3 linked regions of the Tamandua tetradactyla genome follow. The protein of the gene in region 1 binds, or shares a complex with, the protein of each later gene. Links are inferred from orthologs where the notes say so. Each region holds a gene or a part of one and is shown in the gene's direction. Other genes may lie near its edges.

Evidence for each region.
Region 2: the proteins of S100B (region 1) and RPS6KA1 are in contact, whole or in part, in a crystal structure (PDB 5CSJ), measured with the Homo sapiens proteins. The link is inferred for Tamandua tetradactyla from reciprocal best matches to the Homo sapiens genes S100B and RPS6KA1. Residues at the interface, in NP_006263.1 of Homo sapiens: Ser42, His43, Phe44, Leu45, Glu46, Ile48, Val53, Val57, Ala84; in NP_002944.2 of Homo sapiens: Ala697, Met698, Ala699, Ala700, Thr701, Ser703.
Region 3: the proteins of S100B (region 1) and CAPZA1 are in contact, whole or in part, in an NMR structure (PDB 1MQ1), measured with the Homo sapiens proteins. The link is inferred for Tamandua tetradactyla from reciprocal best matches to the Homo sapiens genes S100B and CAPZA1. Residues at the interface, in NP_006263.1 of Homo sapiens: Glu46, Glu47, Lys49, Val53, Lys56, Val57, Thr60, Phe77, Met80, Val81, Ala84, Cys85, Glu87; in NP_006126.1 of Homo sapiens: Thr265, Arg266, Ile269, Asp270, Trp271, Asn272, Lys273, Ile274, Leu275.

Annotation. Positions count from the first base shown.
Region 1 is NC_135336.1:109,048,894-109,056,515, reverse strand, and holds the start of S100B (protein S100-B), read left to right. Parts: upstream 1-4,613; 5' UTR 4,614-4,822; intron 4,823-7,622. UniProt on the Homo sapiens protein: Small zinc- and- and calcium-binding protein that is highly expressed in astrocytes and constitutes one of the most abundant soluble proteins in brain.
Region 2 is NC_135328.1:199,665,599-199,673,434, reverse strand, and holds the start of RPS6KA1 (ribosomal protein S6 kinase alpha-1), read left to right. Parts: upstream 1-4,826; 5' UTR 4,827-4,892; coding exon 4,893-5,027; intron 5,028-5,817; coding exon 5,818-5,934; intron 5,935-6,203; coding exon 6,204-6,285; intron 6,286-7,836. UniProt on the Homo sapiens protein: Serine/threonine-protein kinase that acts downstream of ERK (MAPK1/ERK2 and MAPK3/ERK1) signaling and mediates mitogenic and stress-induced activation of the transcription factors CREB1, ETV1/ER81 and NR4A1/NUR77, regulates translation through RPS6 and EIF4B phosphorylation, and mediates cellular proliferation, survival, and differentiation by modulating mTOR signaling and repressing pro-apoptotic function of BAD and DAPK1.
Region 3 is NC_135337.1:9,448,325-9,456,090, reverse strand, and holds the start of CAPZA1 (F-actin-capping protein subunit alpha-1), read left to right. Parts: upstream 1-4,756; 5' UTR 4,757-4,943; coding exon of another isoform or gene 4,944-5,058; 5' UTR 5,059-5,236; coding exon of another isoform or gene 5,237-5,237; 5' UTR 5,238-5,253; coding exon of another isoform or gene 5,254-5,254; 5' UTR 5,255-5,437; coding exon 5,438-5,476; exon of another isoform or gene 5,477-5,548; intron 5,549-7,766. Other genes in the region: ST7L (suppressor of tumorigenicity 7 protein-like), read right to left, coding at 2,663-2,745, 4,524-4,731. UniProt on the Homo sapiens protein: F-actin-capping proteins bind in a Ca(2+)-independent manner to the fast growing ends of actin filaments (barbed end) thereby blocking the exchange of subunits at these ends.

The DNA of each region.
Region 1 (7,622 bases):
AGTACATCAGTCTGGGTGCAGTCAGGACATCGTAATTTAAACAGGAGAAGGTTAAAAATAAGGAATTATAAAACTACGCTTTAACAGCAACCACAAAGAAGTAAAGAGAAACCTAAAGGGTGCCTGAGGGCTGAGGGAGAGGGCCAACGCTGGACAGCCAGTGGGCAAGCGGGACGGATGCTGTTGGGATGTGGTCCACGACACACAAAACTGTCCCTGCATGCCACCCAGGCCACGTGTTGGGGCTGTATTCACAGTGAGCAACCATAACCAATGAGGACCTACAGTGGGCTTCACTCTGGATGCAGGGAATTCCCTGAAATCGGTGCTCCTGTGCTGGAAAGCAGCCACTGTACTGGGCACAGGGCACCTGACCATGCACTCGGGGGCAAAGGACAACCTGCAGGAACATGAAGTGATGGCTACCACTTTTCAGTAATAAAACCCTCTGCGTCCAATTCACGAGTCTCATGTCTATGGCTGACATCATAACTGCTACCCTGTCAGCATGCAGGGAGGGTAAAATTTCAGACCCTTTGCTCCAGAGGCTCCACAGCTGGTCCCAGGGCACACAGCGGGAGTCGGGGTCACACTGAAGGTGTGTGCATGAGCAATGCAGGTACCACACCAGGTTGCTGTGGGAAAAGCCTTCCCACACATGCAAGTCAAGGTTGGGTGGATGTGCAAAAGGAGTTGGGGAGTTGATGAATGTGCAAATTTTGGAGCACACAGTGTCCACATCAGGGGAGGCAGACCAAGGTGGTCATCAGGCCAAGGTCAGTCTGTCAGGCCACCAAGTGCTGCCCTCTCTGGGCATGGGGCTGGGGCAGAGCACTGGCTGCACCCAGACAAGGCACTGCTGAAGAGCTGCGAGGCAGACAAAGCAAAACACACTACCCCAGAACCCCAAGTCCTCTTCCTCCCGCAATGTTCTTCCAACACCCTCTACCAGCAAAGCTTAACATCATGCTCGTTGTTTCAGCTTGTTGAAGCTGATGAAATGCAATATATTAAAAAATGGACTGGCTTTTAACAATGGGGATTTATTACCTGAGAAATTACAATTCTAAGGCCCTAAAAATATCCGAACAAAGGCAACAACAGGACGAAGATGGGCTGCTGACGATACACAGGGCATCTGTAGGTCCTTCTCTCCCAGGTTGGTGGCTCCCAGGCCCTGGCTGCACTGGCCTCCTCTCAGTCACCCATCTCCGGGTGTGCCCTTGACTCGCAGCCTCTCTGGGGCTTTAACTGTGAGCATCTCTTAATTTTACTTCTCAGCTTCAATAAAGGATTAAGAAGCACCTTGTATGGGTGGCTCATATCTCAATTGAAACAACCTAACAAAAAGCCCAGCTATACCAGGCCTGCCCCACCCGGAATGGAGTGAAAGAACATGGTCCAAGGGGGGCCTGCAGTCTGGGCCGCGGTCATGATGGACACAAGGTGGCCACGACAACCACAGATCTCAGCCTCTTACAGAGGGGGCCCTGTCACAATAAAGAGTACAGCAATGGACGAGGGAAGGGCACACTGTGGCGTAGACATACAATGGGTGACAAGAAGGACTGAGGTCAGGAGACAGGCAGCTAGGTAACGGAGCCTTGAGGAATTATGTGGAGTGAAATAAGTAAAAAATGAGGGGACAAATGCTGTCAGTCCTCACAAACATGGGCTAACTATAATGAGGAAACTCTGAAAATTGAATTCGACAGCACAGATTATCAAGGGAAGAACGAGGACAGAGATTGGGCAATCGACGATTAAGGAGTACAGAATGTTCAGGAAGGCTTACTACAGATGTCCCTACATTTCAGTCAGCCAACCAAAGGAACTGCTAGAGTCTGCTCCGGCTGCACGAGCTAGCACATCTAATCTGGAATCTCTAGCAAGTGTTCCCATGTCAATGAATTTAGTCCTAGACAGTGATATAGTCCACCCTCCTTAGCATAGTAGCACTCGGAACTCAGTCCTATACATGTTCCCCAATTATTCTGGTGTGTAAGTGGTTGCTTCCTGGATCACAGTATGTACTGCTCCTGGAACATGGTAAGATTCACCCTAGCAATGGCTCTAGGGATAGCAGGTGGTGGCTGTTCTCTTGAAGTGTGTGAGTAACCCCTTTCCAGGCACCCCAGGCGAGGTCATCACGGGGATGTCAGGCAGAGAAAGGCTGGTCTACTCAGACACCAGAGGGAAACCTACTTCCAATGGTAAGGGAGTCTCAGGATGACTTTGGGGAGGTCAAGATTTTCAGTTTCATCTAAGTACAAGATGCGCCCATCCCAAGTGTCAAAATCCTATTCTTTCCCAATCAATGCCCTCATTTTCACATGAGAAAATGTAATTTAGCAACTCATATAACTATATGTTTTATTTATTTATTTTTCATGGGCAGGCACCGGGAATCAAACCCAGGTCTCCGGCATGGCAGGCGAGAACTCTGCCACTGAGCCACCGTGGCCCACCTGTAATTAGATTTTTTCTCTCTCTCTCTCTTTTTTTTGTTGCTGTTGTTTTTTTTCTTCTATTTTATAATTAGATTTTCTGTTTGGTTTTTCAGCAGTATCAGCCCTGCGTAGGGATGGCATGGTGCTTCCTGGTTCCGAGACTGCATCTTGAGCTTGTCATGTTCCCTCTGCAAGCACCCAAGTGCCCTGAAAAACTCCATTCCATACCACAGTCCTTTACTTCCATAATGGCCAAGGAGAGCAGCACCTGGGCTCCCCTGGCATGTGCTTCCATCGGTACCTCACCAGGACCCACAAGGCACAACTCAGTGAGTTGTCTGTCAGCACCATGGTGTGCTGGCATCCAGGTGTCTGTTAGCAAGAAGCCAACCATTCCCTAAATTTCGTGATTTTGGACTATCTCCTGAGACCACTTTAAGATCAATTCTGTGTCAGTTCCAGTTCAGACAGGAGACAGAAACTACACAGGATTTACATAGGGCAGGGTAAATAAAAAGAATTATTAAACTATGATAGGAGAGTGACTATAAATATGTGAAGAGAATTCTAAAGGGGGACCTAGGGCTGAAGGCGAGCACTCAGGGAGGGGTAAACCTGGAAGAGCATCTCCTCCCTCCCCAAGCTTGGATTCAGACCTTGATGGGGAAGGTGTAACTCCAGCCCCCCAGATGGGCAGAGAATTTTCCTGTGCCAGAGCTGGTCTAGTCGCTGGTGAGCAGGAAAACTCTCTGGCCTTCAGGTGAACTGAGGCTGGTAGACAGGTTTGCAGAGGGAGCTGTGGCATATCTACAGGCATGATGTCGGGAGCAAGTGGTGTCCACATCAGGGAGTCTCTGATGCTCAGGTGAGTCAAGGTTGGTCGGCAGGTGTGTGTGTGTATGTGGCGGGGGCTGGCGATGCCCCATGGATGTGAGCTGTTCACAGCGTTGCCGTAGGAAAGCCACAGGGCGGTGGCCACCAGGCCTAGGGCTGGGGTAGAGCAGACCAGATGACCTCACACATCAGCATGATGGGCCAACATGGAGCAGGCCAGGGACAGAAGCAGAAGTACAACAGCCCAGCCCAGGGGGAGAAGCAGAGGATGGCATCCCATCCCCAGTCATGTCCTGCCAGCAGCCACTGGCAGGTAGAAATGCTGGCAGGGTCCTCCCGGCACCACAGCAGGCACTGAAGGGCAAGTGTGGAACAGAGAGGCACACCTGCCCTTGTTGTTTAGCTCCACACACTTACTGAGCTGAAAGTGAGGGACAAAGGGAAATTTACACCAGATAAGCAAAGCCAAGGCTGGCCTCCTCACCAGGATAGGTCTGCCTTAGCCTCAGATCAAGCCGGGGATGCTGGCTCCCTTGTTTCTCTGTTAAGGAAGGGAAGACCTATGGGCTGGCTGGTGGTGAACAGGGAGGTCTCGCTGGTTACAAAGGCTATGCTCAGACCGACAAATAACTTCTGAAGCATCAATTCTAAAATACTTTGCTGATCTGCACATTTTCCATTACCATTTCTGTGCATCTTTGGGATGTCTCATCAGATCAAAGCCTCCTCTTGGAGGCTCAGGTCGGTGCAGCTGGAAATAGGCGTGAGCTGAAGGGAGACAGGGGGCTTGGCCTTCACTTTCCCTGGGCCTCGTCTTCAAAACAGAGTATTTGGACAGGGCATTTCCCAGGCACCACCCAACTCTGGCAAGCTGTGACCTTTCACCCCAGGGTAAAGGGAGCGACCTTGGGGTGCAACTGATGTGTCTTCAACTATATAAAACAAGGGTTTTCCTTAAAACTATCGAGTGTCTGTTATACCACACAGCCAGGGCAGCTGCCCCTTCCAGAACCAAGTTCCACGGGGCCTTGCAGGCAAGCGGAAGCCAGGCAAGCTGGCCTGGGAAGCTGGCGGAGATGACAGGAACTCAGTGGTCCTCACCATTGGAAACTAGCCCATGAACCACTTTATCTCCTGCACACGGCCCGTGCTTGGAAGCTTCTTGCACTTGGCTGTACATTTGCTTTGTCTGAATCCATTAATCCAGCTCTCTCTCCACTCCCCACCCTGGCTTTAGAGGAACATCGATATTCATGTAATAAATAAAAAGCACGAACGCTGACTCCCCACTTCCTGCCCCCAGGTCTTTTCCTGCTTTGCCCGGGTTCAGGGCATGCGCTTGGTCCACGCAGCCCAGTGTGCACTGGTCAGCTCCCCGCCCCCGCCCTGCCTGTGGCCCCATTGGCTGCCGCTGCCTGCAGTGGGACTGCAAGGGGGCCGCAGCTCTTCAGCCTGGGAGAAGGAAGGAGAGAGGGAGGCTCCCGTCCCCAGCGCGCCTGTCGCTCAGAACACCCGCAGCCCGACGACAGCAGCAGGAGGTGAGAACAGGAGTAGGCAGCCCCAGAGGAGATGGGAGCAGGGGTGCGAGCTGGGAGCAGGGGGCTGGGTGGTGGCTAGGAGGCCCCTTAGGATAACCGGCAGAGCTGTAAACGTGTCACTGGCCCTCCAGGTTTTAATCTGAACTCTGCAGTCGAGCTTATTACTGCTTTGTGGACATCTGATGACATCCACGCTAGACTGCAGGAGGGCTTGCTGCCTGTGCTCTAAGACTGCAAATCAGAGAAATCTCCAGTTTAATGACTCTAAGTGACTGGTGATATCTTCCCAGAGGAACTACAAATGCTGCTGCTTCTTTAACTCTTCGAGGTGCAGGGCTTTTCTTCCCTCTGGGACTGAGAAGCACGGAGCCTCGCACCATAATCGATTCATCTCCCGCCTCCTGGTCACTACTTTCAGAGCCTGGGGTAGGAAGTTGCTTCTTGGTTTTCTGGTTTCCATCCATTTGAAATGCCAGAAACTACATGACAACGGAGAAACACTTTGCAAATAAATTATGAACAGGATCAAAGAAAGGAGGGTCTATGGTGGGGTTTCACTCTGTGCAGTGTTGCAATTCCTCCAGGAGGAGAGCTGCTCCTGAAGACCCCCACACCAGACGGACTATATAACTGTGCCTCTCAGAACAGCTGAACTCCAAAACTTCTCTTTTCTAATATGAAAAGATTAATGCAGAACATTCATAAAATGGAGTGAGAAGGAAACATAGATACATAATTTCAATTCCTCTTAAAATCATCATTTGTCCCCCACTATGCGGGTTTTTAATGACATGAGAAAAGGCTTAAATTTGAAACAAAACAAAAAAACCTAGCAGGTTATACAAATCTATACTTAGCATAATCTCTGCTATGTAAAAACAACAATGCATAAGAAGACTAGAAATAATTATCAAGTATTTTCATGGTGAGGTTATATGGGTGGTAAGCTTATGGGTTGTTTCTTCTCTATTGCACTTTACTTCTGTATCTTCTGCAAAGCATGTGTTTCTTTGATGATGAGAAAAACATAAACAGGAAAAAGAGAAATAACTTACCAAGTGTCCTGCTTTTTCGCTTTGAGCTTATGTCTTGATGGCTGAAATTACCACACTCTCCAAATCCAGCCCAGTTTTGTAATATGTATCAGGAAGGGTTTATCTATTTCCTCTGCCTGGCGAGGCAGTCTACAGTGGAACTGCACTGATGTCATTCTCTTCTGCTCTTCTGTCTCATCCAGATGCTCTCAAACATGCTCCCACCTCAGATTTATGTCTCAAAAACGAAGAAGTTAAAGCTCTTCTTGATATACCGAACTGCTTTGCTTCTCTTAAGTCTGTTTCTTTTTCATTCCTGATGATTCTCCCCAAAAAGGACCCACAGATGGAAGTATCCACAAGGAAATCTGTTCCCTGGTACTCCTGAGCACTAATCCCCTTAAGAAATAATTTTTTTCCTAAAGTTTTTGAATACTGGGATGTCTCTGAAGACACTCTAAGGAAACTCTCACCAAGATGATGACTAGATGACTTCAGAGGCTACAGCATAACTGGAGAAAGTCCAGAAACCGTACTGATTGGCTTTGTTACAAATTCATACTCTCTAACCTCAACTGGATTTTCACGGCTACTGAGTAATCCTTTTAGCTGTCTCCTCTTAACTTTATATGCATTCCTTACAGCAGCTGCTCCAGTCATTTTCCATTCTCAAATTTCCAAACCGACCCTATGCCCCAATCACCAACTCGTAGCAGCTAACTTCTTTCTTCTCTCATTTTACTGAGAAGATCAAAGCCATCCAATTCTTCAGTCTTTCAATTTCCTTTCTCTATATCTTAATATTTCTCTGCATCTTTACTTTTACTCACCTCTTACCCATTTCAGAGAAAGAAATCTTTACCACCTCTGATTAATCGCTCCATGTGTGCTCACGAGTCCATGCTGTCTCAGTTTCTCTGGGATCTTGCTCTACCTATTATCTGTATTTCACTTACATTTTATTGAGAAATACCCACATACAGTCCAACCATATTACACAATCAGGCTCACTGTGTCACCACACAGTTGTGTGTTCTTCACCATGATCACTTTTAGTACATTTGCATCACTACAGAAGAAGATATTAGAAGAAAAAACTCATACATTCCATACCCCTTACCCCTCCCTCTCATTGACCAGTAGTATTTCAATCTGTGCAATTTTTCACCCTTTATTCCCCCCTTGTATTTATCCTTAATTTTTTATTCATCTGTCCATACCCTGGATAAAAGGAGCATAAGACACAAGGTTTTCACAATTACATGGTCACATTGTAAAAGATGCATTGTTATACAATTGTCTTTAAGAATCAAGCTACTGGAACACAGAGCAACAGTTTCAAGTACTTCCCTCCAGCCACTCCAATACACCATAAACTAAAAAGGGGTATCTATATAATAGGGAAGAATAACCTCTCAACTCTGTTTGAGATCTCTCAGCCACTGAAACTTTATTTTGTTTTATTTCTCTCTTCCCCCTTTGGTCCAGAAAACTTCCTCAATCCCACGATGCCGGGTCCTGGCTCATCTCTCGGAACACCGTTTCCTTTTCAAAAATCTCACTATTCATACTTTACAGAAAAATTACTTATCCCCTTCTCCAAATCATCATGGATTCTAAAAACATTAGGATAATGAAAATGTGGGTTTTTTGTTTTCTTTAAAAAGATCAGTTATTGAAAACCTGGGTCTTATAAAGAATAGTTAAGTACAAAATGTTAAATATTTTTAATGCATCTGAATTATTCTTTCTATATATTTCTGATT
Region 2 (7,836 bases), on another chromosome or scaffold:
TTCCAGGAGCCCACGTTTCTCTCTGTGGCATGATGAGATGAGCGAGTCCCGGGGACCCAGCGAGTAGCATCTGAGCCCAGGGCCCAGCATGGGCCAAACAGATGGTCACTGCTGTGCACAGCAGGGGAGGAGGACTTGGGTGGGCTGTGGGGCACCAGGCCACCGTCCCTGCAGAATGGGCATTTGGTTGGCCCTCACAGGGCAGGTGGGATTTGGGCAGTTAGAGAAGGAAATCGGGCCTCCTGGCTGGAGAAATGGCAGGGGCTGGGACTCAGCATTCAGGCATTCTGAGTTCAAAACCCTGTTTCTCATTTGCCTTGCAACCTTGAGCAAATGACTTGCCCCTCTGAGGCTGAGATTCTTTTCCTGTCGAAGGAGAATAGAGCCCAAAATGTGATGTGTTTAAAATAAAGCAACCAACAAAGTTTGTGGCACAATACAGGTCCTTAACGCTTGTTTATTTGTGTTCATTTCAGGCAGAAAGGGATATTGGGGTTTTAGGGGCAACAGTGTATACAGCGGGTTCAGGGTGAGCTCCGCTGGATCCCTTCAGCACTCTGGGTGCATTTGGAATCCTCAGGCACCCTGGGACTCCATTCACCCACCCTCCCTTCCTGGGGGTGGACTGGGCAACCCAGGCCCCCTCCCCTGGCTGCCTCCGGAGCTGGACCCCTTTGAAGCGCCTGCAGGTCTATTTTGAGAGCTGAGTGTCAACCCCCTCCCCTCCTCTCTTCCTGTTTATGAAACCCTGATCCCTCCCGGATCCCTCATGCTCCCCTGGCTGGAGCTCAGGCAGGATGTGACCACGGACTTCGGGGAACCTTGGGCAGCCTCAGGTGTTGGGGGAGGACTTCCCCTGGCCCACCCTCCCTGCACCTGGGGCCCTGGGGCTGGCCTCTGACCATGGTAAGACTGCCCAGCTAAACCAAGGAGAAGTTCTGTTTACAATGTCCCTTTGTCTCCATGGCCCAGTTTGCTTCTAGAAACAACTTTCTGAGAGTAGCGCATGCCATTTTTACCTCCATTTTATAGAGAAGGAAATCAGAGCTCAGGCAGGGAAAGACCGTGGCCTGGGAGCACTTGACCAGTGTGTGGCCAGTTCTTCTTGACTTCCCACCTCTACTCTTGGCCTCCAAACTCTTGCCCACACCTGGCTCTCTGCCTGTATGTCTTCCTTCCTCCTTTCGGCCTGGCCAATGTCTGCTCATCTGCAGAACCCAGCTTTGAGTTGCCACTGCCAGGCACCCACAGCACCTGCTCTCAGTTCTGTCGCAGGACAGTTGTATTTTATTATCATGTGTATGAGGGCAAGACCAGGGTCTGCCTTAGCTTCCGCACCTCTTGGCCAGGGAGAGGAGGGGATCAGTCACTGCGAATGATGTCCGGAGGAGAACCAGGCTGGTTGCCCTTGCGGGAAGGACAGTGAGGGAATGCTTAAAAGCAGGGTCTTTATACTTCGATTTTGCCCTTGGCTCCACCTCTTTCTAGCCATGTAGCCTTGGGCAGGTCACTTTCTCTTTGAGTCTAGTTTCTTCATCTTTGAAATGAGATGACAGTACCTCCCTTGGAGCCAAGACACAGGATCTTAGCCCCAGCCCCAGCCCCAGTGCCGAGTACAGGAACAGCAGAATCCCCACTGGCAAAGGTTGAAAAAAAGAATGGCCGCATGCAAAACACGCTTGGCTAATAGGAGGTGCAGTTCTCATTGTCACTCGTGCAGGTCCTGGCCTGGTGCCTGAGGCCAGCTCTGCCTTCAGGGATGCCTGAGAATGGCAGCCTCCCTCCTCACCTGCCCAGAGGCATGCTGGGAATTGCGTCTGGGGGCATCTGTCCCACCAGAGGGGTTTAGTGCCTGGTAGGCCCGCAGATGCTGCCAGCTGGGCAAAAGGCTAGTGGTGTCCATTACGCACTGGGACTAGCAGGTGGGCTTGGGCGGCAGCTGGAGGAGGGAGGCCAGGGCTGGAAATCAGGGAACCAAGGGTCAGGCTAGAGTGCTCTGGATCTCTCTTCCAGCTGCCATGTGGGAGGAAGTAAATCAAGAGGAAGTGTCTCTGGTGGGGAGCGAAGGGCAGGGACCGAGGGGATGTGGGCTGGTGCCTGTCCTCCTGCCGCTAGAGGCCTCCCAGCCCCTCCGCATGCCCTTCTGTGCAGGCCGTTCTGAGACTGTTTCCTTCCTGTGCCCTGCCGGCCGCAGCGGTTCTTCCTCTGCTTCGGGGGGAATGGGGGTGGTGGATGCCCCGCTGACACCGGCCCCTCTTCTGCTGCTGGGCCAGAGAGCTTTGAGGTTCCCAGGGCTGTCCCGGTCTCCATGGGGGGAGCCTGAGGAAGCTGGGGTGCAGTGAGAAGCCTCGGATTCAGGGAGGCATTTCAGAACGCCTGGCATCGCCCATCGGAGGCTGTTATCGGAGACCCCGTGAGGGCAGGGAAGGGGAAGTCCGTGGGCACTGCAGGCGTGTATTTCCACATAGGCCAAGTCTGTGGAAATGGTTTCCGATCACCGGCCTGAGTGTGTGGTTGTGTGCCTGTCAGTTCCTGTGGGTGCACTGGTGTGAGTGATAAGATGAGGCCACATGGAAAGGGGCTGGGCCTGGTCTGGCTCTGCCCCACAGCCCCTTGCCCCTCTATCCTGTCCTTTGTGTCGGGCTGTCCCCCTTGCATCTCTGGGCCCTGGAGCAGCAAGCCTCTTCAGGGCAGGGCTGAGAACGCAGAGCCCTGGAGCCGGGGAGGGCTGCGTCCTGTGGTGCCGGCTGTGAGGCTGGCATCTTGGGTGGGCCCAGCCACAGGAAGGGCGCTGTGGGGGCAGGAGTGTCTTGAGCTGGACCGTCTAAGCTCTGGGCTGGGCAGTCAGAGGCTATGGCTTTGCTGACTTCTGTCTCCCCTTCCTCAGGGCCCCTCCAGGTGGGTGTTCCCGGGTGCTGGGATGCCCCCCTGTGTCACCACCTCATTGCCGCATGACCTCCATCTGTATTCCTGTGTCCCCTCCCTAGGGTTAGAGGAGATGGGGAGGGGCGCACACCCAGTCCTCCCTGGGGTAACGGGCTTGGGGTCTGTGGTAACCCCTCCTCAGCAGGGGAGCCTGACCCATCTTCTGTCCCTCCTCCCTGCGGAGGGGGAAGTGAGAAGGAGGGGGGCCAAGGACCCTGCCTTCTGGGCTGGGAAGACTGAAAAAGCAGAAGTAAAGGGAGTAACAAGGCCCTCTGGCCACCGGCTTGAGCCCCACCATGCAGACCACGGCAGATTTCCCCAGGGTTGGGGGAGACTTGGTCTTCTGTCCCAGGAAGGTGAGCAGAGAGAAGGCCTGCGTCTCGTGATGTGTCACCATTACTCTGGGCAAGGGCAAGGGTTTGGAGGATGGGGTGTCTCTGTGTCCTGGGGTTTCCCGATAGTTGCCTCTGTCCCCTGGGAGCATTCTCGGTCAGAGACAGCTGACGGATGAGGTAGAGGCGCAGTTCTCAGGGCAGGGTGGGCAGAAATGGCTGTGTGGTCTTGGCCGCCCCCCGCCTCTCTCTGGGCCAGGCTTTCGGCCTATCCCACCAGGGGTTTGTACTCAAGCCTGATTTGCCTGCAGCTTTTTATGGCTGTTACACCACTCCCCCTTCTTTCAGGGAGGGTCCCCTGGGGATGGGACTGTCTCTGAGGGTCAAGGCCTAGAGTGGGAAGTCCCCAGACTGACCCTGATGCTGAGGGAGGGGGCAGGCCTCGGTGGGGAGGAAGTGGCTCTGGCTGCCTTACCTGCCCACCCTTTCCTGGCACTTGAGGCCTGCTGATCCCAGGCCAGGCAGCAACCAGGGGAGGGACTTGGGTTTAGCTGGCTCTGCCACTGGCTTGCTTTGAGCCTGGGTGAGTCACTGTCCTTCTCTGGGCCTCAGTTTCCTGTTCTCAAAATGGGGATATTTTGGATTAGAGTCAAAGCCATCAGAGTGCGCTCTGGAGATGACCCCTCAGCCCACCATCTTAGTCCTGGACCCCTCAGGTCCTGGGGTGGGAAGAAGGTCCTAGGGACCTCAGAGATGGGTCTGCCACAAATACCGGGTTCCTCTCCTGGGTTCTTGGGATTTGCAGGTTATGTCCCCTCATCCCTTCCTCCACCCCAGGCAGACTGAAAGAATCCAGAGCTCTGTCTTGGAGCTCTGACGCCCCCTTTCCTGGGGATCCTCGCCCTGCTACCTGTCTCTGTGTCTACCTGTCTCTGTGTCTACCTGCTGAGTGCCTTCCTGTCTTCACTTGTTGGGTACATGTCATCCACTAGGTGACCCACACCTGTCTGTCTCTGCCTGTTGGGTTGGTACCCCCTTCTGTCTCTACCTGTTGCGTACATGTACCCTCCTGCCTTGCCTATTAGATACGTGTCCCCATTCATCTCTGCCTGTTGCATACATGTCCCCTCCTGCCTCCACCTGTTACGTACATGTCCTCATCTGCCTCTGCCATTGAGAACATGCCTCTGCCCATCTCTGCCTCTTGGGTATGTTTCCTCCTGCCTCTGCCTGTAGGGTGCTTGTTTTTTTCTGTCTCTACCTCTTGGATGCCTGCCTCTGCCCTTTGGATGTCTTTTTTTTATCTGCCTTCATATGTTAGGTGCCTGTCCCTGCCTAACCCAGAGTACTTACCTGCTTCTCAGCAACTATGTTGGCATGAGGCCCCCAGGGAGGCTGGGGCAGGGAGGGCCTGAGGGCAGCCCTCAGGCTTTGGGGTGAGGGCAAAAGAGAGGAAGGGAACGTGGTGAGGGTGTAAGCCTGGAGCTGGGAAACCACAGACCTTGAATGATTGGCGGTCCTGGGCCAGGCCCAGCCCCCGCCATCACCCTGCACATCCGCCCTGGGCCGGGCCGCCTCCGAGGCAGCCCGGGACGCTGCCTGCTCCTGCCATGGTGCCGCGGCCCTGCTGGCCAGATGGAGCAGGATCCCAAGCTGCCCCGTCTGCGGCTCTGGGCCCTGCTCCCCTGGCTGCCCAGGAAGCAGCGGCCCAGGATCAGCCAAACCTCTCTGCCTGCCTCGGGCCTTGGCTCTGGCCCCCAGCAGGACTCGGTGAGTGTACCCGGATATCTGGTCCTGGCCTGGCTGTGGCCCTTGGAGCAGGTGCCTGGGCAGCCAATTTGGCCTAAGTTGTCTTTGGGCTCTCTTGGTCCCAGCCTGGCCCCGTGGGTGACTGGACCCTGCCTAGACTTGCTTCCCAGGGAAGTAAAGAGGCCTTCAGAGCTCTAGAGACACCAGAAAACTGGGAGACAGCAGAAGCTTCCTAGAACAGCCAGGGCCTGGCAATTGGCTCATTGAAGGGAAGTTTGAAAGGGTGGGCATGGCATTTCTGGTCTTAACTCCCACCCACCCGAGGCTGGTGCTTACTGGGTAGGTAGGGAAGTCCCAGGTGACTCAGCTCTCTGTGTACCTCGGCCTTGTCCTGTTGGCCAGAGGGATTCACTCCATCTCATCCTGACCAGGAACAAAGGTCCAACTCCACCTACCCAGTATGAGAATAAACCCTACTTCCTATTGTAGCAAAACCAAAAACGTTTGCAGCAGGGGAAGGGAAGCCCTTCAGGGACGACCTGGAGGTCTCAGGGCTTTAGCCAGAGCTTGCGGTTGGGGGGAATTCCTTCCTGGTTGTGCCAGCATCCTTGTCGCCTGACCCACACCTTGGTGGTTTGACCCTTCCAGGTCTCTGAAGCCCTTTTGGGGTTGGTAAACTCAGAGGCAGTTGGGGTAGTGTCCTGGCCAGACCTGCAGGACGCTGTCTACTGAGGTCCAGCGGGAATGGTCCCAGACTTGGGGGGGCCCCTGCGTGGGCTCTCTGTGCTCACCAGCTCTGTCCCTCAATCAGGATGAGGGCGTCCTCAAGGAGATCTCCATCACTCACCACGTCAAGGCTGGCTCTGAGAAGGCCGACCCATCCCAATTTGAGCTCCTCAAGGTGCTGGGCCAGGGATCCTTTGGCAAAGTGAGTTCTGAGCCCACTGCTGGGAGGAATTCCCTGGTTATGTCAGAGGTGGGGGGTGAGGGGTCACTCAGGAAATCGGGGGTAGGGTTGAGGGATCTGGGGGCAGGGTGAGAGGTCACCATGGTGCAAGGTCACTATGGTGCTGGGGGAGGGCAGAAGGTCAGCTTGGGGCTCCGGAAAGTTAGAGGTCAACTTGGAACCTGGAGGGTGGGGTCTGACGGTCCCAGGTGCCCCCATCAACCTCCACCCCGACCCCACTGCCTTCTCAGGTCTTCCTGGTACGAAAGGTCACCCGGCCTGACAGTGGACACCTGTACGCCATGAAGGTGCTAAAGAAGGCGACACTGAAAGGTGAGTGGGTAGCTCCTCGTGTGAGCCTAGGCTGGGGCCAGGGTTGAGGGAGACAGCCATCCGTCAAGGGCCTTAGGTCTGATGGAGAAGGTGGCTCTGTCCTCAGGAGTGCCCAGTCTGTGAGAGGAGATGTAGGCCTGCATTCAGCCACCCACAGGACACACATGATGGGGGAGGGAGGGCGTGTTCAGCAGAAAATATCCCATGGCATTACCACGTCCCCTCCTGCAGCCACCTGCCAATGACCAGGATGGAAGGTGACTGTCCGGAAGGAGGCAGAGGGACAAATGCAGTGTGTTTGTAGTGGGGTGGGGACCTCAGATATCTAGCATCAGGCTGGTCGGGAAGGGGAGGTCTAACTGTCAGCAGGGCTGCCTCATGATGTGAGCCCAGGGGGGACCTCTCTGGTCTCCTGGCTCTAGGTGGAAAAGGGTGTGAGAGAAGAGGCAACAATCCCAGGGGAACATCTGAGCCAGGCAAGAGAAGGTGAGGTTGAAGCAGGGCCATGGAGATGTATGGCAAGGAGGTTCAGAAGGGAGCCCCAAGCTAAGGTTTAGAATGCTGGGGACCTCCAAAGGATGTAAAAATGACTAGTGGCAGGCTTTGGGCTGGACATTGTCTCTAATTGTTCTGGGAACCAGTGCAGCCACAGGCCAGATAAAGTTAGAGCCTGCACCTGGCTGGTGGGGGTGGGGGATGGGGAATAGGAGGTGTTGGCCTTTGGGACACTATGGGTCCTGAGGCCCATGAAGGGCCGGCTGTGGGGGGATGGTAGATTTGGTCAGGGTGGTACTCATTCCCTAGGAGGGATGGTGAGAGCCACTGAGGAAAGAAAAAGATGAAAAGACTTGGCCCCTGTCCATGAAGAGCTCCCAGGCTGGGATGGGTGAGGCGGTAGGTGTGGTCAGTGCAGTGACACCAGGATGGGTATCTGTTCTAGTTTGCTAGCTGCTGGAATGCAATATACCAGAAATGGAATGGCTTTTAACAAGGGGAATTTAATAAGTTGCAAGTTTACAGTTCTAAGGCCTAGAAAATGTCCTGATTAAAACAAGTCTAAAGAAATGTCCAATCAAAGGCATCTAGGGAAAGATACCTTGGTTCAAGAAGGCCGATGAAGTTCAGGGTTTCTCTCTCAAGTAAGACGGCACATGGTGAACACAGTCAGGGCTTCTCTCTCGGCTGGAAGGGCGCATGGCGAATACGGCGTCATCTGCTAGCTTTCTCTCCTGGCTTCCTATTTCGTGAAGCTCCCCGGGAGGCATTTTCCTTCCTCATCTCCAATGGACTCTCCACTTCGTGGTGCTGCAGCATTCTCTGCTCTCTCTGAGTCTCTCTCTCCAAAATGTTTCCTCTTTTATAGGACTCCAATAAGCCAATCAAGACCCACTCAAATGGGTGGAGACATGTCATCCCCTAATCCAGTTAAACAACCATTCTTGACTAAATCACATCAACCAGGGAGATGATCTCATTACAGTTTCAAATATACAGTATTGAATAGGGATTATTCTACCTTTATGAAATGGGATTTATATTAAAACATGGCTT
Region 3 (7,766 bases), on another chromosome or scaffold:
TAATTGCTAATGTCTATCAAAAGCTTTCTATGAGATAGGTCCTTTACTTGCATCATGTCATTTAAGCCTCCTAACAACACATTTTTCAGATGAGGAAATACACACCAAGTTTAAATAACTCTGGTTTAAGTGGCAGAGCAGGGATTCTTATTCAGGTTTGTCTGACTTCAGAACTTCTAACCACTGTATCAACCAACTGCCTCCACCTGCCCCAGAAACATACTTCAGTGTATGTGTGTTTACAGGTTTGATAAGCCTAGGTGGCAAAATAAATTACAAACCCAATAACCTTTATTAATAAAAACCCATCGGTATTTCAAAGGCAATGAACCAGTTTAACCCTTAAGATGTTATTTGAATTTCCTAACTTTTGTACACTTAAAATCTGTTTTAAAAATAGTAAAAACAAAATTTTAAAATGGTTTTAGGGGAAATTAGGACTCAGAGAGTTTAAGTGACTTATTCAAAGTTATCACACTAAGAGGCAGGGTCACCAACCCTTCCGGTTCCAAGACCAAAGCTTTTCGCACTATATTAGCTATTTAAAGATAGTTATTTTCTTCATTTAGACTTTTATATGCTATTGGCAAAATATACTTAATTATGACTGGGTTTTATAAATCAATAAATTAAGGCTTATATTAACAAATAGTTTTATCCGGAATTCCTGAACAGTGTCTTTTTTTTAAGCCAAGAGTAAAATCCCTTTTTTGTCCAGCTTTTCACTTAAACAAAATGGGCAGAGTTAATCACTAAATATATCTATATAAAGCAGCAATACAAATACGATCATTTCTATTACAGCTGAAGAGCACCACCTAGAGATGAGAAAAAAGGACAGAAAAATTCATTGGCCAAGCAGCATAAAACTGCTTAAGATTTTTATCTGTAGCAGTATTTTTCCAAAGTTTACACTAGGGATGCTAATAGGAATTATAAAATAAAATTTTAAAATTTAATTAAAAATGAGCTCTTGGTCAAATAGGACAAGGAAAAACTGAATTACAGTTAAACTGGCTTCCCAGCTGCAAGTGGCATCACTGCTCTCCTCACTATGAGGGACATGATACACAGGGGTGAAAGTCTCCCTGGCAGCGTGGGTGATTACTCCCAGGGATGAGCCTGACCCTGGCACCGTGGGATCCACAATGCTATCCTGACCAAAATGGGAAAAAAGTGTAACAAATAAGGTATCAGTGGCTGAGAGAGCTCAAATAGAGAGGCTACACTGGAGAGTACTCTTAATGCAACCTTCAGTTAGACACTGCTACCTATCATAACTTGCCAAACCCCAACCAAAATCATTCCTGCCAATCTTACGGAACACCTAGATGTTATGTAAGATTCTTCAAAGTCTCCATGTACAAGGCTAACTTTCCAGAAACCTACAACCTCCAGATGGATCCCTGGAACTGATAAGTCCTGAAATGCAGAGGGGCCAGCCTCTTCAGAGCATCAACTAGGTCCATTCCCTTATCCCATATTTTCGACAATCCTTTCAACATTAAAAAGTTAGAATGGGCATAGCCCAAACATCCCTCAAGAGTGAGAGAAAGATCAAAGGTGATGGTGGAGTTATACAGAGAAGGTAGGGTAACAAATGAGTATGATTGCTGAATCATTATATTGATATTTCTTTTAGTCTCCAAATCTAAACTTGTGGAATTATAACCCATACCAAACTCTGAAATCTGTTCTATAATTAACTGTTGCAATGTGCTTTGAAATGTATTGCTTTTTTGTATGTATGTTATTTTTCACAAAAAAGAAAAAAGTCTATTGTGATGATTAATGCACAGCTATGTGAAAAGTAAATAAAAAGTAAAAAAAAAAAAAAAAAAAGAAAGGTTTAATTGGCTCCTTTATTGTGAACTTCTCAGAAAAATAATGGCCAAAATTCATTAAGTGCTCAGTCCGAGCCAGTCATGTTACAAGCTTTTACACATATTACCATATTTAGTCCTCATCAGCCTATGAAATGGAAACCATGATTACAGATGAGCAAATTAAGGCTTAAAAAGTTAATTAACTTGCTCAAAGTCACATACATACCAAGTAAGTGATGGGCAGCCTGGCTTCAAAACCTAGTCTTAAATACTCCAGAGACCATAACTGGCAGCCTAAAGGCTGAATTCAGGAGCAGGTAAATTTTTAGTCTGCTCAGTGTTGTCAACATTAAAATACTGGGAGATTCTATATAAAAATCGTATATCCAGATTTTTTAAAAAATCATTTGAAAAACTGGACGATCTGGGGATAGTGGAATGCAAATCTACATGGAAACAATTAGTTTTTATTCCTATTTTAGAAGGGGCATGCATTCGCCAGATTATTAAGTCCTCAAATTAAATAAGGAATAATTCTTATACCTTGCCTATTTTTGTTACCAAGCTAGGGTTCTGCAGACATTTTGTCTGCCACCCCTGCAGTACTGCATGTAATAAAGCCTTTAATATAGAAATGAATACTGACAGTTTCTAAGAGTGCTGAGGAAGATGCAGTTTTCCCCAAATTTATTTGAATAGGTAGCACTTTCTTCCAAAGGCTGAATACATTTTGGAAATGCTGAGCTATAAGCATTTATAATTATCATAACTATACAAAGGGATTTAGTCTTTGGATAAATACCAAAATGTGAATGAAGGAAATGGAAATTACTTACAAATATTAGTCCTGATATTAAAGATGACGTCCCTGTAAGTGCCACATAGAATTTGGGTGTCAGTGAATTTAAAAATACTGTCACTGTCAAAAGAAAAAAGAAACCAAAGTTTAAAAAATGCAAATTCAAAGTATTTAAATTAAAAATATGCAGGTGAGTTTATGGCTAGGGGGACAGAAGTAATATTAATATCTAGCATGAGATTCATTTGAGAAAGTTGTAATTTTTTAAAAAAGATCATTTAAATTCCCATCACTGTATATCTTAAAAATGAATTCGCACCCATAAAGGGTAACATTTTACACTATTGACTTGTTAAATAAGCAGCCCATCAAAATGAGATTCTTGAGCTTGCTCCTGAGAATAAAACTAAGAATTTATCGGTCATATTATGGACAGGAACTTCTGTTACTCTATAAGGGCAAGAAGCTAAACAAACATCCTTTCACAAAGGAGGTTTAAAACTACTTATTTTGGTGAGACACAAAACAGTGTCTCAAATTAGAATGATAGAATTCTGGCACAGTGAGGGTAGGAAATAGCGTATATACCTGGCATGTCAGAGAGACAAAAGAGCGCAAAGAGAAAAGCAATAAACTGAGAGCTCTCTGTCCCTGACTCATTGTGAAATCCAGAACCAGATTCTTCATGTCAAATAATTGTCTCATAAATTATTTTTTTTGGACACCGGACTTTACGAAGAAATAAAAATCTATCATAATGAAATATTCTCATCTCTATGGTATATCTAGTTAACATGAAGAAAAAGAATTAACTCAATAATTAACATTCAGAGGATACCAACCAGAATTAAGGATTTCATTCACCTGCTACAAAGAACAACCAATTAGCTCTTTCAAATAATCTAGGAAGGCCAGTTTATTTAACTGGTTTTAGTGTGTTAGTTACATCGGAATTTACATAATTCCCTTCTAAAAAGTACAAAATATTTCATAACATTATCTCAGTCTTTCATGTCATCTTATAGAAGAGGGGATAACTGCCTTCTCTTATTACAGAAAAACAAACTACTGCATTGATAAGCAAAGATATCACGTAACAGAAATATTTGCATATTGTTCTGGGGTGCTCTCAGAGCTCGAGTGGAAAATTGCAATGATACGGTGAGAGGCCCAAGGCCCCAACCACTTTATCCGTGGTACTGCTAAAGGACACTATCTACAGTATCCACAGATATTATCACTTCTTATGGGTCTTCCATATTCGGTCGAAACTACATTAACAAGCCCTCTACAAACGTTGCATGAACTAATGAACTGCTGTTTATGACTTACTTTCTGCATATTGCTTCATTATTTAAGATAAAGCCTACAACAAAAATATCACGAAAACTATTTCTTGGCAGGTCTATTCTAAAACATGAGAATGGTTCAATGAAAAGGCCATGGCCTTTTTTTTGTTTGTTTTTGTTGTCTGAATGTGAGTTCTTTGAGATCTCTGTTCATCTGTTTTTTGGATGTGGGCTTTCAGCTGGGTTACAGGAGACTCAATGGAATGATTTTGAGGGGATCCTATCAACGGTGGGATATGAATTCTGTAATCCAGTCTGAGAGGGCTCACTTCTGTATTACCACCTGCAGCATGTCAGGTGGTTTTCCTCGGGTAAACCAGGAAGGAAGAGAGAGGGAGGATCCTAAGAGCTCTAGGGAGGAGCCAGGAGCTCAGCTTAGGTTTCACAGCGAGGGGTTGCGGCTCAAGAGAAAAAGAATGCACTAGCCACGCATTATCCACTCATTCTTCAAAGCCCTCCAGTGACTACAGAGAATCTCTGCCCTTTGGCCCTCGCCCCGGCACCTATTCTGAATCCCTGCCCGTCCCTGGGGAGGTCTGGGCCTCTCACCCGCTGCCAAGTTCTCACACAGCCTCAGCGGGACCCTCAGAGCGTAAAGAAGCCCCAACCCCACCACGAACCACAGCGAGGCCCCAGTTCCCGCCAGCCCGGCCCGCAGCCGCTCCTTCCAGCCCAGCGACGAGCTCAGGCCCGGAGCAGATGCAGAAGGAGATGCTGCAGCAGTAGCGACTTGGCCCAAGCCGTCACCGTCCGCCATCTTGCCGTTTCCGCAGGCGCCGGGAGCTGGGGGGGCGGGGGAGAAGGGGAGGAAACCAGGAGCCGGGAATCCTGGGATAGTGGAGGACCTGAAGCTGGCCTATTTGAAGGTCGAGTCCTAGAGAACGGAGACGGATTTGAAAGGTGGAGGAATGTCCTAAGACTGAAGCTACAAATTCCTTCGGGGGTTGGGGAAGGGATGGATAGCGACACCTGTTCTGTCCACATCACTGGACAGAGATGTGACCCCGGAGTGGTGTTTTTGCCTACATAAGAGGTGAGGGTGATCTTTCACCCCATTCCTGGGGTTGGAAAAGCCATCGATCATTCCAGGATCCGAGCAGCGTTTAGCGCTTTGGACTCGGCTGCAACGGAGATCATTGGTGCCGGGAAATTTTACAGGAGTATAACTGCTATTTAGTCGGATGGACTTTAAAGCTCGTAACCCAAGAGCAGTTCAAACACGTCCCCAGCGTCGAAGAAATGAATGAGAAAATGGATGTAACTCAGAAAAATATTTCACTTAAAAACGACTTCCTGTACTACTGGCGCTCGGAACCACCACCTCCGCCCGTAACTAACATGGCGCTCCCTCCGTCGGCGTTTCCGGGCGGGTCCTTCGCTGGGCCCCCGCGGTAATTCCATCGCTCGGTTTTTTTCCCGGCCTGCCTCGCGCGGGTGGACGGGTTGGGCCAGAGGAGCCCAAGATGGCCGACTTCGAGGATCGGGTGTCGGACGAGGAGAAGGTAAGGGGTCCGCCTCTCTTTCTGTCTCTTTTTCTCTCAGGGAACAGGGGCCCGACCCGGCTGCGCTGGGAACCCTGGAAGTGTCCTCAGGTAATATAAGTTTATTGGCCCGTGCTGGTATAAACTCCACGCAGTTGGGACGCTTCCTTCTCAAGGGGTCTTCCTCTGCCTCACGGTGGCTCTATTTCCCCATTCCTCAACGCTCTCCTTTCCCTCCTGGGCCTGAGGCACAGCCCAGTAGCCTCCCTGCGAGGGTAGACACTCTTATTGAATCATGACTGTAGACACGTTTTTGTGATTATGGGAAAGGCATTGGTGATGTCGCGACAAATCAAGAAGCGGTTGTTATACTGTCTTCGGCTAGTAGGGTTCTCCCCATCCCCCCATTATTAGATATGATTGTGGCTAATTTAGGGCAAGTCACTTCCTGGTCAGGGTGGCCTCTTAACTTCCCTTTTGCTCCTCCTTCCTCAGGAAGTGATTTTGCTGTCACGACTCTTCGACAGAGAGATGTCCCCATGTGTTGTCCGCCTTACTGTATATCCATGTTTTCTCATATACTATCGGCTTTATTAATTCCTTGTAATAAAACGTGTAGGGTTTAGGGCATTTGCTTCAGAATCTAAACAACTATGTTTCCTGTACTTTTGGTTGCATATATGTAGTAGGTCTTACTTCTTCTTAGAGATAATTTTTGAAAAATAGTTTTCGGTTTCAGCTGTTTTTGTTAAAGAATAGCCAGCGGACCTTTGTAAAAGGCCAGAAAGATTTTACGTTGGCATATAAACCTCATGTTCTTACATTGAAGTCTGCACAGAGCATCCTACCTTCTTTATCTGATGTTTCACTGTGGTATCTGATTATAGTTGAATTTGTCGATGTGTAATTTGTGTATTTATTTTTAAAAAGTGTTAAATACAAAAGCATATTCTAGTTAGATGGAATAAATTTTTCCGAAAGCTGCATAACTTTCTTGACAATTCACCAGGCTTTTCAATAAATACATGATTTTAGGTCCTGTAGAAATTAGAAGTAACTCATTAGATAATTTGTCAGAATTGTGCACAGGAAAGGACAAGACTCATGTTTTTTGTTTCCCATAGCACCAGTTACAAAGTGTGCACCCTTGAATGCTCTGTAAATGTACCTGGGCTCTTTATTTTTTTATTTAAGAGATTTGGATAGGATGGGTGTACTGTTTATTAATCCAAGAGTCCCGCATACAAAATGGTATACCTACTTAATGGCATGCTATTTTGAAATGCTGAAAGATATGCTAAACATAAAAAAGCCATTGAACATTTTAGCATTAGTTTTCTCTTATGTGGAAATTCTCATAAATGTTAAATACAATTTGGGGAAAATAAAGGCATCGTATATGTGAATTTAGGCTGGAGAAAAACTGTAATAAAATGTTTATTCTAAGACAAATAGTTATGATTCATATAAAATTAAATTATGGTGAAAGTCAAGGCATAACAAAACCCCAACTTATGGCCCACTTATTTAAGCAAAAAAAAGTATTACAACAAAATTTCACTAAGAATTTAGATAACAATAAAACTTTGAAGTTTATTGTGCCCAAATGACATTTCATTGACCAATGTTGGGTTTTTGTCTTTGATGCTAGGTTAGAATGCTTTTTAAATTAAACTTATTATATATTTTTCAAAGTACAAATTAAGGTGCCCTTGAATATTGATAGTGTTTAATATTAATAGTCTTAATATTAATAGTCTCTGTTGTGTAAGATCTGTAACCAGTCTCATATTTTCCAGTATAGTTCTTCTGTGCTTAATTTTAACTTAGTAACATAAACTAGCACATCATTATTAGGTTAATCGACTCTCAAAAAGAGTTGACAAGTATTATATTCGATAAACAGTTTTTACATTAATGACCTCTTCATTAGTGTGAGTAATTAAAAGTAGATGTTATGGTAAAAATCTCACATAGCAAATCGATATGGAGTTACTTGACATTGTTAAGTCTTATTCCCAGATGGAGATGAAACTGATCCATTATCTGTTATGAATCTGTAAGTAAAAAGAAAGGGCTTTGACTTGTAAGATCTCATTAATTAGCTGTCTTTCAACTTCGTACCTGCTCTGTCTTTTCTTCTTTCAGATTGAATTCCACAATTTAGAAAGTATATCTCCAGTAAAGTCTTGTCTATATGAATGTGTTAGAATTCATGAACAATAAGTAACCTTTACATGGGATTTTTGGCCTGTTTGACTTTCCCAGCTAAGGCACAATTAAAAATTGATTTTAAAAATCAACATATTTT